2 linked regions of the Struthio camelus genome follow. The protein of the gene in region 2 binds, or shares a complex with, the protein of the main gene of each other region. Links are inferred from orthologs where the notes say so. Each region holds a gene or a part of one and is shown on either strand. Other genes may lie near its edges.

Region 1 (7,342 bases), on a different chromosome or scaffold from region 2:
TCACAGAACAAAAAAATGCTCTGAATGTATGGACATACCTTCTGAAAGTGCAGATTTAATAGTTTATATTGTTATTTTGTCAGCATAACACGATTTAACGTTAGACAGCATAAGGAGAAGGGAAGGAACAAATACTTAATTTCTGTGGTATCACTGGGAAAATGTGTCCCAGTTCTTTTATTGTGAAATTGTTTTCAGTATTTATTTCTTTGAAACAGTAGTATAAAAGTTGAGGACCTTGAATATATTTTTGTTGTGTTTTTCTTTAAACAGGTAGGGTGGCTGATAAAACATTACTTCATTGAACGCTCTCCCTTTATTAAATAAATACCAAATTCTAACACTAAAATGAATTCCATAGCACAAAAAAAATACTGCAGAAAATTTGCTGTTCCAATACATTTTGGTTATAACCAGTGGCCATTCAGTGATCTACAAACAAATGTAGTGGAAAGCAGCTTTATTCATGTACCAGCATTCTTCCAGTATCAGTCTCACAAGATCACTGCCCCTATGGGATTTATTGTTTCATGCATTTTTGTCTCTGTTGTCTGGATTTCAGAGTAACAGGAAGTCCACCTTCCCGTAAAAAACAGTTTGTGTTTGGAAAAGCCGCTCTGTAAATCAAATCAAGTCCAATTAACCAACTTATTACTAGAAGTCAAATAATATCTGCATAGGTTAACATGACAGGCCTAAACAGGGAGATTATAGAGGAGTATAGTGAATAAGTACTGACCTGTTCCATAATTAACGAACCAACCCAATATTTGGTCTACTTTACTGATAGTGAAATTCTAAGGAAGATCAAGGAGGTCAGCAAGGGCGGGAAATACAAAAGTAACAGTAGTCTTCATTGCTTGTATGTAGCCTGTACAAGTGTTACATCTAGATGTATCACAGAGACTGGCCTTTTAGACATAAATAGTGCCTCTTTCATGGAACAACTAGTTAGAAAGTCCATGAGAAGACAGCCTTTGACTTCATCCTGAGTAGTAGTTGGGATCTGGTTTAAAAACTCATATATTTGGAGAGCCAGTCTCTGAGCAATGACCATAACATACTTTGATGCATTACAGGATCACCAACAGCCAAAAAATTCACCAAATTTTGACTCAAAGAGTGGAACTGTATAAAAATAAGGCAGTTTGTTAAAAAGGGACAAAAAGGTGCAGCTAAATAATTAAATCCTTACAGGCAGCATGGAAGCTATTTTAAGATACACCTATTAGAAACATAAGGTCTATACACACACTTGGATTATTAAGGAGGGCCCGAGAAGGGTGAAGTAATATTCAAATGAAACAAAGTAGAAACATAAATCCCTGCAGATTGAATATAAGAAAACAATAAGATTGTCCCCCCAAAAAAGAATCAAAACTAATAATAGATTTTTCTTTGATTCTCTCAGCAACAGGAAGCCTTCCAGAAGTCTGTTGGAGCAATTGATAACCGTAGTATTAACAGGAGTACTCAAAGAACACAAGGCCCTTGAAGAGAAGTTTAATAAATCATTTGAGTCAGTTTTCACTGTGGAAGAAACTGCAATCACCAGTGGATATCCTGCAAATTGAAGGGATTTTGGAAGAGAGAATGGAAGAAACTTGATAAAATGAACAGTAAGAAATCTTGAGGACCAGATAGTATTCACCCACAGTATTCAAGGAGGAAACTGAAATTGCTAGCAGGTGTGCATAACCACAGTTTTAAAGCTGCACCGATACCTGGTGTCTACAGGATACCAAATGTAATATCAACTTCTAGGAGGAGTCCCATGGAAGATAGGGGGCCTGACAGGCCAGGAAGCTTGCTCTCTCCTCTGCAGGTCAGTAGAAACTATGATAGGGAACAGAATCAGTAGACACCTAGATAAATATGATCTACTTGGAAGAGTCAACATGACTTTTATAGAGGGAAATTCTGCCTTACAAACTTACTAAATTCCCTGAAGAGTCAACGTGCATGTGGAAAAGAGTGAGATGGTTGATACAGTCTAGTTGGATTTCCAAGGGGTAACTCATATTCTTGGAGCAGATAAAGGAATGCATGCTTTTCCACTCCGCCAGCCACAGAACCCTATATAAAGTGTCTGGTACATTTTTTTCCCGGTCACCCATTGCTTCCCTAAACTGCTGTTTCTCTCGCCTCTTTCAAACATCCTCCATAAATACCGGAGGTAAATAAATTTCCATTAAGCCTTAGTACCGAAAAAGTGCATCTCAGTCACTCTGTCTCCTCCCTTAACTTCTTCTCAGGACTGTAATTTTTGATTTCCCTTCTGTTGTGAGATGAGCAATACCATCCTGGCTGGAAAAAGTGATTTCAAGGGACAGAGCTCTAAAAGGTTGATTTCTAGGGTGAACCACCATGCTTAACCATCCTTCTGTCCCTGTAGTTGTACCTCCATTTCTAGGTCACCCAGGAAAGGGGATGCTGCATGAATGCGCAACTCACTGTCAAAGCCTGAAAACACCCTACCTGCTACCTAGCTCTTTAGCAGATGAAAAGGAATGGATACTTGCAGATCTTACACCAGACTGTGTGTGACAGGAACATTTCAAAAGGAGAATGAAGTAAGTGCCTTTCTCTGGACAAATTGCCTCCGTGCTCAAAAGGAATTCGGCCGTTTCCCATGGGATAAACGTAGAGCTCAGTTGTATCACCATCCCTCTCATGCTGCTGTATCTCTCCTGTTCATCTGATGAGGTGTCACCTTGGCACATGAATAGCAGTCTAAAATATGAGCTCCACCGGTACTATCTGGGGATCTTATTTCTTAAAATAGTTCCATTTAATTTTTAGATCTGTCTTGTAAGATAGGAATGCTGTGGCCATTTAGGTATCTTTTAAAGCCTCCTGATTTCCTGCAGAACTAAAAAATCTGATCTGTGGTAGGTCTCATTTGGTGCTTGATGTCCTACACCCTGCTATTTCCACAGAGCAAAGCACTAGTTTCCTTCTCCCATGGCTGGATTAAATTTCTCAGCACTCGTAATTTATTTAATCAAGGGTCAAGGGGTGGGGGAAACGGAGCTGCTGCAACTCCTCTAATTATGGTCAGAAATATAATTCTAACTGGCAGTAGAATGGGACTGAGTCGGCTAAAACAGTGGAGGCAAGGTGCCTGGTGTTAAGACTTCTTGGTTTTAAAATGACAACCTTTCCAGCTGTGTCCTTTTTTCCTCTGACAGGACCCCACCACTCAAAATTCTGAGCAAATAGGAACAGACGAGATTGCAAAAATGCAATGCCCATCGGAGTAACGTGTTTGCGTCAATCTGAGAATCATGACTGATGTTGTCAAAATTGGACTTGGTTTTTCACATCGGCCAGCATGTGACCACCTGGCTTGAACAACAGACGTTTTGTTCCTTTTATGAATGAGAGGCACTCTATCAGCAAAACATGAATGGGCCCAGTTATATTCAATAAACTGAGTTTTTCTTAGCTTTTGTTTCCCTTTGAGGAGAAGAAATTTGATGCCATTGCAGTGAGTAGAAACTGATTCAAAAACTGACCTTGGGGAAGCAAAACACGAAGACTGTTGCATTTTGGATGCTGTAAAAATAGGATTTGAGGAACTCTTGATTAAATTCAATCAAATAATCAGTCTGGACCTCACAGTAAGAGCCCACAGTTTTCCTGTGTTGCGGGTATGATTTAATTGCATTGTTTATGGCACAATGAGAGACAACTTAATGGTGCACTTGAAATTTGCAGGGTTGTGGCCTTCCTCTTTTGCCATACAAAGCAAGTACAGAAGATGCCACTGGTAACTGGATTGCAGATCCTACTTAGTTGCCTATCTAAAGTAGAAAAATACAATCGCATCCCATTCTTCAATGTACTTGAAATGCTTTTGAGAATTTGTATGTTGTATCCTCAGGCCATCAGACACATATTGCAAGGTGCCCTTCAGAAATCCAGTAAAAATCCGTAGTTACTGCAGGAGAAAAACCTTGCCCCGAAACCCTTTGAAGTACACGTTGTGAATAACAGAAACCCAGCTAATCTCTGATTCCGGAAAAGCATTCAATGTTGCATTGCTGGTAGATTATTTCTGTAGGCGGGTGGAAGTTTTTATTTGCGATGCGGACACCTTTGCCAGCACCCCCCTCCCCCGCCCGGGTGAGGGGCAGGCCGAGCTGGCCCGGTAGAGCAGCGCTGTCCCACGCTACCTGCCGACCGCTGCCAAACGCTCGGCGCCGAGCCGGGGCGAGGCCACCGTTATTTTACAGACAGGGCTCGCGCGCCGCGGCCAACGGCCGCCCCCCGCGCCGCCCCGCAGCATCACGGGACGGCGCCGCGCGGCGCATTGTGCGCGCGGGCGGCGCCCCGCGCAGCGCCCCGGCGCGGCCGCTAGGGGTCAGCGCCCGCCTCTTCCTCCCCCATGTGACTGCGGCTCGCCGGCCAGAGGGAGGGCGAGCGGCTCCCGGCCTCCTCCGCGCTCGGCGCCTACAGCTCCCAGCAGGCGCCGCGTCCCGCGCGCCGCCCTCCCGGCGGCCCGAACGCCGGAGCCTCCCCTCCCCCGTCCCAAACGGCCGCCTGGCTCACGTGACCGCGGGCCAGCCAACCGGGTTTGAACCTGTTTTTTTTTTAATCCGCCCCTTCCCCTCCCCGCAGCGCTGGTGCGATCAGATCGATCTAAGATGGCGACTGTGGAACCGGTGAGTGTTTCATTCCCTTCTCCCGCCCGCCTTTCTCTCTCCTTCCTCCGCCTCCCCTTGCCCGCGCTGCGGCTCCCGCGGCCCCGGCGGGCGCGGCAGCGGGGAAGGGGGAGAGGGCGGGGGCGGGGGGGCGGCGCCGGGGCGATGGCGATGGCGATGGGGCCGGCGAGGAGCGCACGCACGGGGACGGGGCGGGGGGGAGGGGGAGAGGGAGACGAGGCGCGGCGCCGGCCTGCGCGGCGGGGAGGGAGGGAGGGAGGGAGGGATAGGCCGAGGCCCTGCGCGCGCGCGCCGCCCGCACCGTTGCGTCTGTGCCGTCACCGGCGCGTGGAAGAAACGAACCGACCGTTGGGGTGGGGTTGGGGGGTGAGGGGGGCAGGGCGGGCGGGCGCGCGGCCTGCGGGTAGCGGTGCTGGCTGCCGCCGTGGCGCCCATTGTGTCGCGGCGGGGGCGGCCCCGCGGCTCCCCGCCGGCTGTGACCTTGCCGCCCTCCCGAGGCGGGGGGGAGGGGGGGGGCGGAAGGTGAGGAGAGGAGGAGCAGCCAGCCCGGGCGGGCGGCGGCAGCAGCAGCGGCGGCGAACGGCCCCCGCGGAGCCTGGCGGGCGGCCCTCGGCCGCGCTCCGCTCATGTGGCGGGGTGGGGGTGGCCATGTTGCTTTCTGCCGCAAGGAGCCGGCGAGTTAGGACTTTTCCTGTCACTTCAGCGATCGCCCGTCCCTCGCCAGGATGCGTGCGTGCACCCTCACGGCCATGTAGGAGTAGCAAAGGTTCAGTTCCAAGGCTGCCGTAGTATTTCAAAGCTAGTGGTGAAAGATGCCTTGTGCTTAGGCGATACGCAGTCGCTAACCTGGGGTGGGGTGAGTGTCTCAAACTGAGTAGTTATGCTGCTCTAGATTTAGGCAACCGAAAAAGCGATGTTGCTGCTCAGATTCAAGATGTGATGCAAACACTATTCCCTTTTATCATCTGATGTCACCTTTCTGGTCTAAGATCGTATTTTTGTTGGAACTTTCTGTAGGCTAATTTCTGTAAAGTGTTTAATTATTAAACATTTTCTTCCCTCTCTGTGTGTGAAGTTGTGTTCATAAAACTACACAGTGTTTCATAATTACTGTCCCAACCTGCACTTCCCCTAAAGAATTGAAGCAGAGCTGGACACGGTCTGGTAACTGTCAATCTAATTGTACACATTCGTGTATCATGGGGAACAGAGTGTGGAAGACCTTGTGCTAGTGTTTGGAGAAAATGAGAGATTTAAGGATGGGTGACTTGTTCCTGCTTCTCACCTACAGTGCCTAAATAGCCAGTGCATGCTTTGGAGAGGCCTTTAGATAGAAATACTTAACTACAAGAATCAGTTTGCTGTTTTTAAATACAGACATCTTAGTTTGCCAGGGAGACAGTCTTAAGGGATGCTGGTCATACAGTTTTCTTTCCTGAACAACAAAAAAAAAACCTTTACTTACAAGAAAGACCAACGTTGGTCATCAGTTATGAATTCCTTGACTAGTGGTTCTGAAGTAGAAGAAAATCGATTGTTAGCGAGCTGGAGCACCAGCAGCAGCCTTCCCATGTTCTTCAGCCACAGTCTCAAACACTTATTTTTACTTCTGATAACTGATCTTTCCAAGCCTAAGCCCATGCTTTTGAAGGAGAGAGCTTCATGTCTCGTGTGTTTTGTGACTGTCATGGGGCTTGGCAGGTGTTGTGATAAGTTATTTGTAATATTGATAGCCACTAGAAATTGAAACAATACTAAAGGCATGTTTCTGTGGCTCTCTTGGCTGCAGTGCTGGCATACGCCTGTCCCCACACTGTTCTCTCCATTGTTTTTGCATGTTTGTGTGGTCGTATGTTGGGCTAGATCTGGGGCCTAATTTAGACAAAAATAAGCAGTTTATTTTGCTACACCATTTTCCAGTAGGATTAGTTCCCAAATCAGGTTTAACCTGGAGTGACGTATTTGTGCTGACCCAGTAAAAGTAGAAGACAAGGCAATGCTTAAGACAGTTTAACTGACCTGTTGTTGACAGTTCTGCCATAGATCAAACATGAAGGAAATATAAGCTATGCTTGGTTATTTTCAAATGTATTTAAATAATACCCTTTTTATGCTTTTACTCTTAGGTGGCTCACACTTCTAAGCTTAAATTTGAGCTTGCATAGTGGCTAAAATCATAGATGGCCGCTGTTGCAAAAATAGTGCATGATTTGGAGTTGAGTAGTTTAGTTGAATGTGTGGTTAGGAGTTTGATTACTTCGTGAACATATGGAAGCCTTTCTATTGCTGACCTTCAAAATCTGGACCTAGGTTTGAAGAAATGTGTCATACTTTAGTAAACATCTTACAGTAAGACTTACTTTGCAGTAAGTATTTTATGTAACTGAAAAGTAACCAGCTTCACTGGTTTTCATACTTAAAGGGAGAAATAAGCTAGGGAATGAAAGAACAGGGAAATGTGAGATAGCCCTCTTTGCCCTCAATGGTAAGTAGTAACTTTTGGTGTTGCTTCCCTAGTATGCAAATGTATCTTAGGCAACGCAGAAGGTTATGAATGTCTCTTTAAGCGGGATACTACTGAAATCAATGATTCTTCTAATACTTTCTTGTTTTAAATGTTGAGAGTATGGAAAAGTATTCTTGGAACTAGTTAGGAATGTTGAGGCTTCAGGTTG
Region 2 (7,245 bases):
TGTATTGATGCTACTTCCTGACAATGCATTGCTGGAGGGATGTAACTGTTTGGGGCAAGGCGGGCTATATCTTGCAATGCTAAATCCCTAATAGGGTGCTGTCTGCCTTGATAATGGCTTGTAGAGGATAGAAATTTAAAGAATGCTTTTAAAGACTGTACTGAACTCTGATGCAGTTGTAATGATGAGCTGCGTAACAAACATGCCATAGTCTTCTGTGCGGATTTCTTGCATGATCAAAATGCATATAATTTCTGATAGGGTCAAGGAGGGATTTGTACTCATTCATGCCTGTCAGGGAGTTGGGTGAGTGGGCTCTGGTGTGGTTGGCAGCTCAGCATGCAGGTTATTGGAAAGTGGAGCAGCGGGACATGGGCTCATTGTACAGACAGAGAGAGTTAAAGCCTTCAGAGTTGGCAGGGGGCAACAGAAGGTATTGAACAAAAGGATGGCATATGTTCTAGCATTGGAAAGCAGAACCAGGAAACTTATATCCGTTTGAAATGATGGCATGCAGCACTAGGAAGGAAATCAAAAGATAGCTGCACATCTCATCATGCACTGATGGGTGTTTACAAATGTGCAACATGCTTGCTATTGGCAGCTGTGCTACTGGTGACCTACGTGCTCTCAGGGTCAGAAATCTTTTCTTTTTGTGGGGTTAGAGATAGATGTGGGCAACCAGATCACTTTTTATTTGCATAAGGCCTTCTGAAGCAGAAAGCTCTTGGCTGTAGTCTGTTGTTGGAAGGAGTTACTAGTATTTGTCATAAGCTGGCTAGGCTTCCTGCCATGGGCAGGTTTTCACTTTCTGAGCTGTCTGCTCATTGAGACCTCTTTTAGACAGTTGCTGCTTGCTACTTGGTCTCTTCTGCTTAAACTCTCCACAACCTGTGCCCTGTACACATGTGTTTATCTCTTCTTGAGAGCTGCAACAAGTTTTCTTATAGGTAGTGTGGGAACGTGTAATGTTTTTGTGGTCTTGCTGTGCTTTAAACCATTGGCCGCGTCTGATACAAAATGAAGTCTGTGCTGACATCTTCAGCCAAAATCCTGTCCAGCCCTTCACAGCATGGACAGGTGACTGACACGTTGCCAGAGGTATGGCTTTTGTTTTTAACTAATTTATAGTTTTAACTATTTTCTTTGTTTGCAGCACTGCATGGTTTACAATTCTTGGGCTCACTGCAGCCCTAGCTGATCATGGCTTCATGAATGCCTTTCTGTACTGGATCATGGCAGTTTTACCTCCTGTGGTGTTTTACCTCCTTTATGAGGATGAGAAGATCTCTGTTGAATTAACAGGTAAAGTATCGATAAGCTTCATCACTAAAATATCTGAGTGGAAAGATGCGAAACCGAGACAGTACATAAGCATTTTACACATAGCAAACAGCTAGTGGCAGGGCCTTAAGATTCCTGTGGAAGCTCTTCTTTCATAGACTTTGCTAAATACTGTAAAGTGCAAATAAAGAAATCAAAATGGAATCGAAATAACTGGAATTCGGGAAACAGTCTTGTGGGTGTCTGTATCTACCGTAGATACCCCTGAACAGAGGCAGAGAATTGGATCAAGCTTGATACCACCGTATCATATGATATTCATCTGGTTTAGGTGTAGGGTACACAAATTGTCAACAGCATGATACGTTAGTGCTGTAGATCTCACTATAGATAACTGACAGGTATGGGCTCAAATACCAGGTTGAAATAAATATTTTACCACCCAGAAAGGGCTGTTGAGTTTCTAATTCTAGCTGTTGGCTTCATGAAAACGACAGCCATCTTCCAGTGGATAAAGGGTCAGTTAATGGCTTGGTCAGGATGTATAGAAACTTACATCTTTAACTAGGCGCGGAAGAGGTTCACATTCAATTAAGCAAGAGTGTGATTAAGAGCATTCAAAGTCAGGCCCAGAAGAAGGAAAATGTAACGGCAGAAATGGGTCATGGAGATCTCTATATCTTAGCTCCTTTAATCCAGTACTGTCATCCCATTATTTAAATTGCACAAAAGTGGAGTGAGCAGGGAGTTGTGGGGCATTTCAGAATTGAATCTGGCAGCTGAAATGCTGTGAAGACTCTTTCCAAATTAATTCTGAAAAGCATACCTTGCTGTTACGAGAGAACATACACATCCAGTTCTTGTAATGTGATTGTCCTCTAATCCCGATACCAAACAACCGAAAAGCAACACAAGTCTTGACTAGCTGCTTAATTACCATCAGTATTTTTAATCTGACCTTATGGGTAGCTATAAATTTTGAGTACAGGATTGTCCGAAAGGGTAGATTGCCCCAGTAGAGGGCAGTAGCTCCTACACCCACTCTGTTTCTTTAGCAGGAACATGGCAAGACCCTGAAGCATCGGGCGGTTGTACGAGAAGTTGTTATTGTTAGGGCAGTATGGTGCTGCTTGGCAGGGTCTGGCTTTTGTGCGAAGCAGCACTCCTGGCACCAGATGACTTTTTGTAAGCACGGAAGCTCCAGTGGCAGTCTTGCACAGGAGCACTAAGGAGAAACGCTGGTGGGGCCAAGCTGCTGCTGTTCAGATTTTCTGGCTCTGATTGGAGCAGCTCCTTGATTGGGCCTTGCAGAAATTTGGTGTGCTTCCAGCCTCCCTTGGGGCTCTGTTGTGGCTTGATAACTAAGGCCTTGCTGCTGATCTAGGCCAAGTGGTTGCATTAAGACAAGGCTGTTGTGAGTTTGCACTAATCCAGGACTAGCAAACATGCACGATCCTGTCTTACGAAGGCGAGTTAGTCTTCATGAGTTACTCTTCACTTTAGTAACTTGATTGCCCCAAGCGCTGTTTGTGGAAGAGAGCGTAAGAGGGATTGCACCTGGACAGTGTCAGCTGTCATTTTAGAAAGCTGAAGAATCCCGTTGTGGTAGCCTTTCCTAGTTTTCGCTTGACCTGGATTTAGAGGCTTGGATGATAAGGAACTGTGATAGATGGAATTTATTCATTTGATATATGTACTCAAAATATACTATTGTATGTGCACAAGCAGTCAGAGAAGAATAAGCAGCGACATCCTAGAAGAGAAACTGTTTCATATACCAATGGACAATATTGCAGCACTGGAAAAAATATGACTGTGAAGGTAAGTCTGCAATACGATGAAATAGTAACAACAACAACCTTTTGAAATGGTGTATAATTTCTCCCCAAGATGCTGAAATTCTTGATGGTGTGGAATGGATAGAATAGATGGATAAAACAGTACTTGAAGTCATGAGGATTAGTGTGTTTAGCAACTTATCTCCACTTCCCAAAGGCTTTCTTGTAGGTGCTTGTACAAAAAGGCTATTTAAGGAAACTTAAAACAGTGGAAATTTGAAAAAAACAAAGATCAAGGAAAGGAATAATTATTCTGTTCTCAGCACAAAAAGCATTAACAGCACAGTATCTCACCAGCAGCTCTTGAAAACAGAGATGAGAAAATCGCTTGCTGCAGCAAAACTGTGCAGGTTGCTAATGAGTAAGGGAGGATTTTCAAAAGCAGATAAAATGTGGGATGCAACTTGAAGTAGTGAAATACAAGAAAAGGGGCTTTGAGGAGATTTCCAAACAATTCTGTTTGTTCTATGTTCGGAACTGACTGTAATCCCTAGATATAGTAGAGAGGTGTGTTCTGTCTGCTGTAGGATAGTGGACAGAAAGACCAGTTTTGGTGACCAACTTGGGAAGAAATTTCTTTTTGTGGTACAGTGTCAAGTAGATGAATCTTAAAATTGGAGAAATAGGACAAAAACAGAGTGTGAAATGAAAACGTGCAACAGCTAAGTACTTTCTAAAGTAGACAAGCATATACACGCTACTGTTTTACAGAACAATGACATTTGGAGGTGGTTGAGAGCAAAACTGGCCTTTTTGCTTTTCTGCTTTCAGTTTCAATTAACAGTGGCATTCCAGGTAGGAGCAAGGCCCACGCGAGCACCACCTAGAGGTAGTATTTCCAAGGGTTTTCTCTTGAAACCCTTGTGGTTAAGACTAGCCTCGGATCCTTGATGCGGGGGCTCGTTCCCTCCCGTCAAGTGAGGAAAATGTCGCCGCGGCCCGCGACTTTCACGCTCGGCGGCGTCATGTCCCGGGCGTCCCTGTGGCGCCCCGCACCGTGCTGAACGGCCGCGGGCCGGCCGGGCGCAGCTTGGTCCCTCTGCGGAATGAGCCTCTCTGGGGCTGACGCGCAGCTGTGAGAGAGTCGTGCTCTGCTTGTGTCTGTATGGGTAGCTAACGTCTAAGGCTGCTTGCCTTATGTTGGGGGGTGGGGGGGGGGGAGAGCAGTCGCTCCTCGGCGGCCGCGGAGCCCCGGCAGCCGCCCGGCACCTGCAGCGCTGCGCGGGGAGGCGGCGGGAGGCGGGGCCCGGCCCGGGCGGGGAGGGAGCGGGGGGCGGCAGGTTTGGGATGGGGCGGCGGGAGGAGGAGCTGGAGCGGCAGGAAGGGTGTTTCCCTGCGTAGTTCCCAGCCGAAGTGACTCAGACAGGAAACTGCCAGCCAGGCGCGGCCGGGGGAGAGGAGCCGCCGGGCCGACGCGAGCCCCGGCGGCGGCGAGCCGAGCCGAGCCGAGCCCCCCCCCCCCACCCCCCTCCTCCAGCCCTCCGCCCCCGGCGGCGGGCGACCCTCGCGGGAGCCGCCGGCCAGCGGGTGAGCGGCGCTTGCCCGGCTCGGCGCGACGCGGGGGCTGCGGGGCGGGGGGGGGGGGGTCAGGCCTCCGCGGCTTGGGGCGCCGCTTCGCCTCCCGCCTCGCCCTGCGCCGTTCTCGGCGGCCGCGGGGCTCAGGCCGCGGCGCCCCGGGGGGCTGCGCGGGCCGGGCCGGGTTGGGTTGGGCCGCCCTGCCCTGCCCTGTGCCGGCCGCCAGCGCCGGGCGCCCGCGGGGCGGCAGGCGGGGGGTGGGCTCTGCGTGGAGCCGCCTCGGTGTTGTTGCCTGCCCGCGCCTGTCCGCAGAAACGTTTGGTTTTCTCCGGATGCTGAAATTTAAGTCAGTTCGTGCCGCAGGCTGCGTTGCGCGGTGCGCTTGTCTACGCGCGCGCGTGTGTGTAAATACATACATATATACGCGCAGCCCGAGCGAGGCCCGTCAGGTGCGGGCAAGCTGGGGCAGGTAGCTGGTGGCAGGGCGCGGGGGAGAAGATGCGGTGCCCTGCCGGGTAACTGCCAGCCTGCGGCGGGCGGGCGGGCGGGCGGGCTGCCGCTTCTGGGGTAGGCCAGAAAGCGTATGAATCCTCCCAGGTGATTAATTGGAGAGCGGTTTTAAGTGTGTCGCTTATGGGGGGAGGGGGGGTTTCGTTGTCCCCTCTCGCATGGAGTCCGTGTGTCTGTTTGCGGTGCTGGGATAGTTAGAGCTTTGCTTCCGATGCTGTCCGGTGTTGGGGAGCAGATGAGGTGGGAAATAGTAAGTCAGAAACGGCGTGCAAATCCATCCCCTCTTTCAGTTGAAAGAGATGATTGAGCATCTGTCTGAATTCCCAGAGTAGGATTTTGAGGAACTTGAGTTTTCTCTAATCAAGATAATTACGTTGTAGTGAGAGTTGCAGCGTCTGTTCATAATTCCCTACTAGGCATCGTGGTAACCGTGCACCTTCTGTATATGTCTACGATGTGCGAACGGATTCATGCCGAAATGGATTTCATATACTTCTCTAGTTCATCAGGAAGTCTGTTAATAGTTTTTACCTTTCTAGTTCTCATTGCCTTATTTTTTCTTCCTGTACCATCTGATGATAGGTGTGAGTAGTGTTTAGACATGCAAATTGTTATTTGTGTCAGGAAGACAGACTATATGGAGGAGGTAGTCTTTGAGGAATGTAGTGAATCAACCTGAAGTGGTTGCTGAAGCGCATACATTGGAGGGGAGAGGAAAGTTGTCCAGAAGAATTTCTCTTTAATTAGAAGGTCAGACAACACTTTACCATAAACTGCGGGAGATGTAAAGTTTAGACTCTCTAGTAAGCATCCCTAGTCCTTATTGCATTTCACTTACTTATTTGCCAAAGCTTTATTACAGCAAATTTACTGAAAACTCATGCGTTTAGTGTCATTGGTTAATGTATTTTTTTAGATGGGAACTTCTAATAATACCATGACGTACTTTCTTGATCTTTGTTTTATATTGGTATTAATTGCATGTTTACAAACTGTTTTATGCTCAGGCGGAGAATCTCTGAGCTCTGTGCTTGAACTTGTGTTCTTAGTCCTCACAGCGGTTGTTCTGTCTGGTTCTTGGATTTATCCAACTCCTACTTCTGCGCTTTTTAAAACTGCTTTTGTTTTTTTTTTAACACAGAGTTCCTCCTGACCTAATCTAAAAGGCTCTTTCAGCATTCGCAATTAACTTGCCTGTGAACTTTAGCTGGAATAGGCAGCCGTTATTTCCTTAGCTGCCAGGAAGGAGGAGGTATTTGGAACCAGCCTTTGGAAAACTTGGGGTACAGTATGAAACAGTAATGTTTCTTTGCAAAAGCAACTTGCTTGAATTTTTTTTTCTGTCAGGACAATGATGTGGTTGATAGAATACCTCAGTTGTATTTTGTGGTTTCCAGGTTGTTACGCCTAGATTATTGTTATTCTTATTTAGAAGGAAGAAAAAGCCTGGAGTCTTAAGAAAAACAAACAGACAAGGATCCTGTGCTGAAGATGAGTAAGACCTTGTGCATTTTGTTCGCTGACCTTGGGTCTGGTGAATTCCTGCTGAGGGTTATGATCACGAGAGAGAATAGAGAAGTAGTGTTTGAAATGCGTGGAGCAGAGTTAATGTAAAATTTCTGGGGTTTAAATATTGCAATATCTCCTAAGTGGATACTGCTACATAAATTGCAAAAAAATCTACGTTAAAAGAAAGTGAATGTTCCACAAACAGTCCATACTTTTCATTTCTTAACTCTTTGACTGACTTTAAAAAAACTTGTAGTTCTTTAGGGTACTTATGTATGTTTTGTTATGAACACCTTTGATTTTTTTTTTTTTTCCTTCAGTTTTCTCAGGGTGGAAATGTTCCCCCTGGCTTGAACCCACAAACTTTCTTGACCCACTATACAGTCCTTAAAATATAAGTAAAGAACGAGCAGATACCTATTCCAGCTGTGTGTTTTATATTGGAAGTTTGTCTGATATCCACCTTAGTTTAATGAATGCTTTGTTTATTCCTTCTGAGAGAGAGAAGGCTTGGAAGGTGACTTTAGGTCTCTAGAGCAGGATTCATGATCTTAAAACTCTGTTCTCAGAATCAGCTGGCCTTTATTTG

What was found. Proteins that work in one complex are often made in the same cells at the same time.
Region 1: CYFIP1 (region 2) and EIF4E share a complex: the UniProt entries of both Homo sapiens proteins name them as parts of the CYFIP1-EIF4E-FMR1 complex. The link is inferred for Struthio camelus from reciprocal best matches to the Homo sapiens genes CYFIP1 and EIF4E.

Annotation. Positions count from the first base shown.
Region 1 is NC_090945.1:28,151,080-28,158,421, forward strand, and holds the start of EIF4E (eukaryotic translation initiation factor 4E), read left to right. Parts: upstream 1-4,286; 5' UTR 4,287-4,649; coding exon 4,650-4,667; intron 4,668-7,342. UniProt on the Homo sapiens protein: Acts in the cytoplasm to initiate and regulate protein synthesis and is required in the nucleus for export of a subset of mRNAs from the nucleus to the cytoplasm which promotes processes such as RNA capping, processing and splicing.
Region 2 is NC_090942.1:148,825,798-148,833,042, forward strand, and holds the start of CYFIP1 (cytoplasmic FMR1-interacting protein 1), read left to right. Parts: upstream 1-4,153; 5' UTR 4,154-4,168; coding exon 4,169-4,197; intron 4,198-4,437; exon of another isoform or gene 4,438-4,649; intron 4,650-4,891; exon of another isoform or gene 4,892-4,969; coding exon of another isoform or gene 4,970-4,983; intron 4,984-6,288; exon of another isoform or gene 6,289-6,430; intron 6,431-7,245. UniProt on the Homo sapiens protein: Component of the CYFIP1-EIF4E-FMR1 complex which binds to the mRNA cap and mediates translational repression. In the CYFIP1-EIF4E-FMR1 complex this subunit is an adapter between EIF4E and FMR1.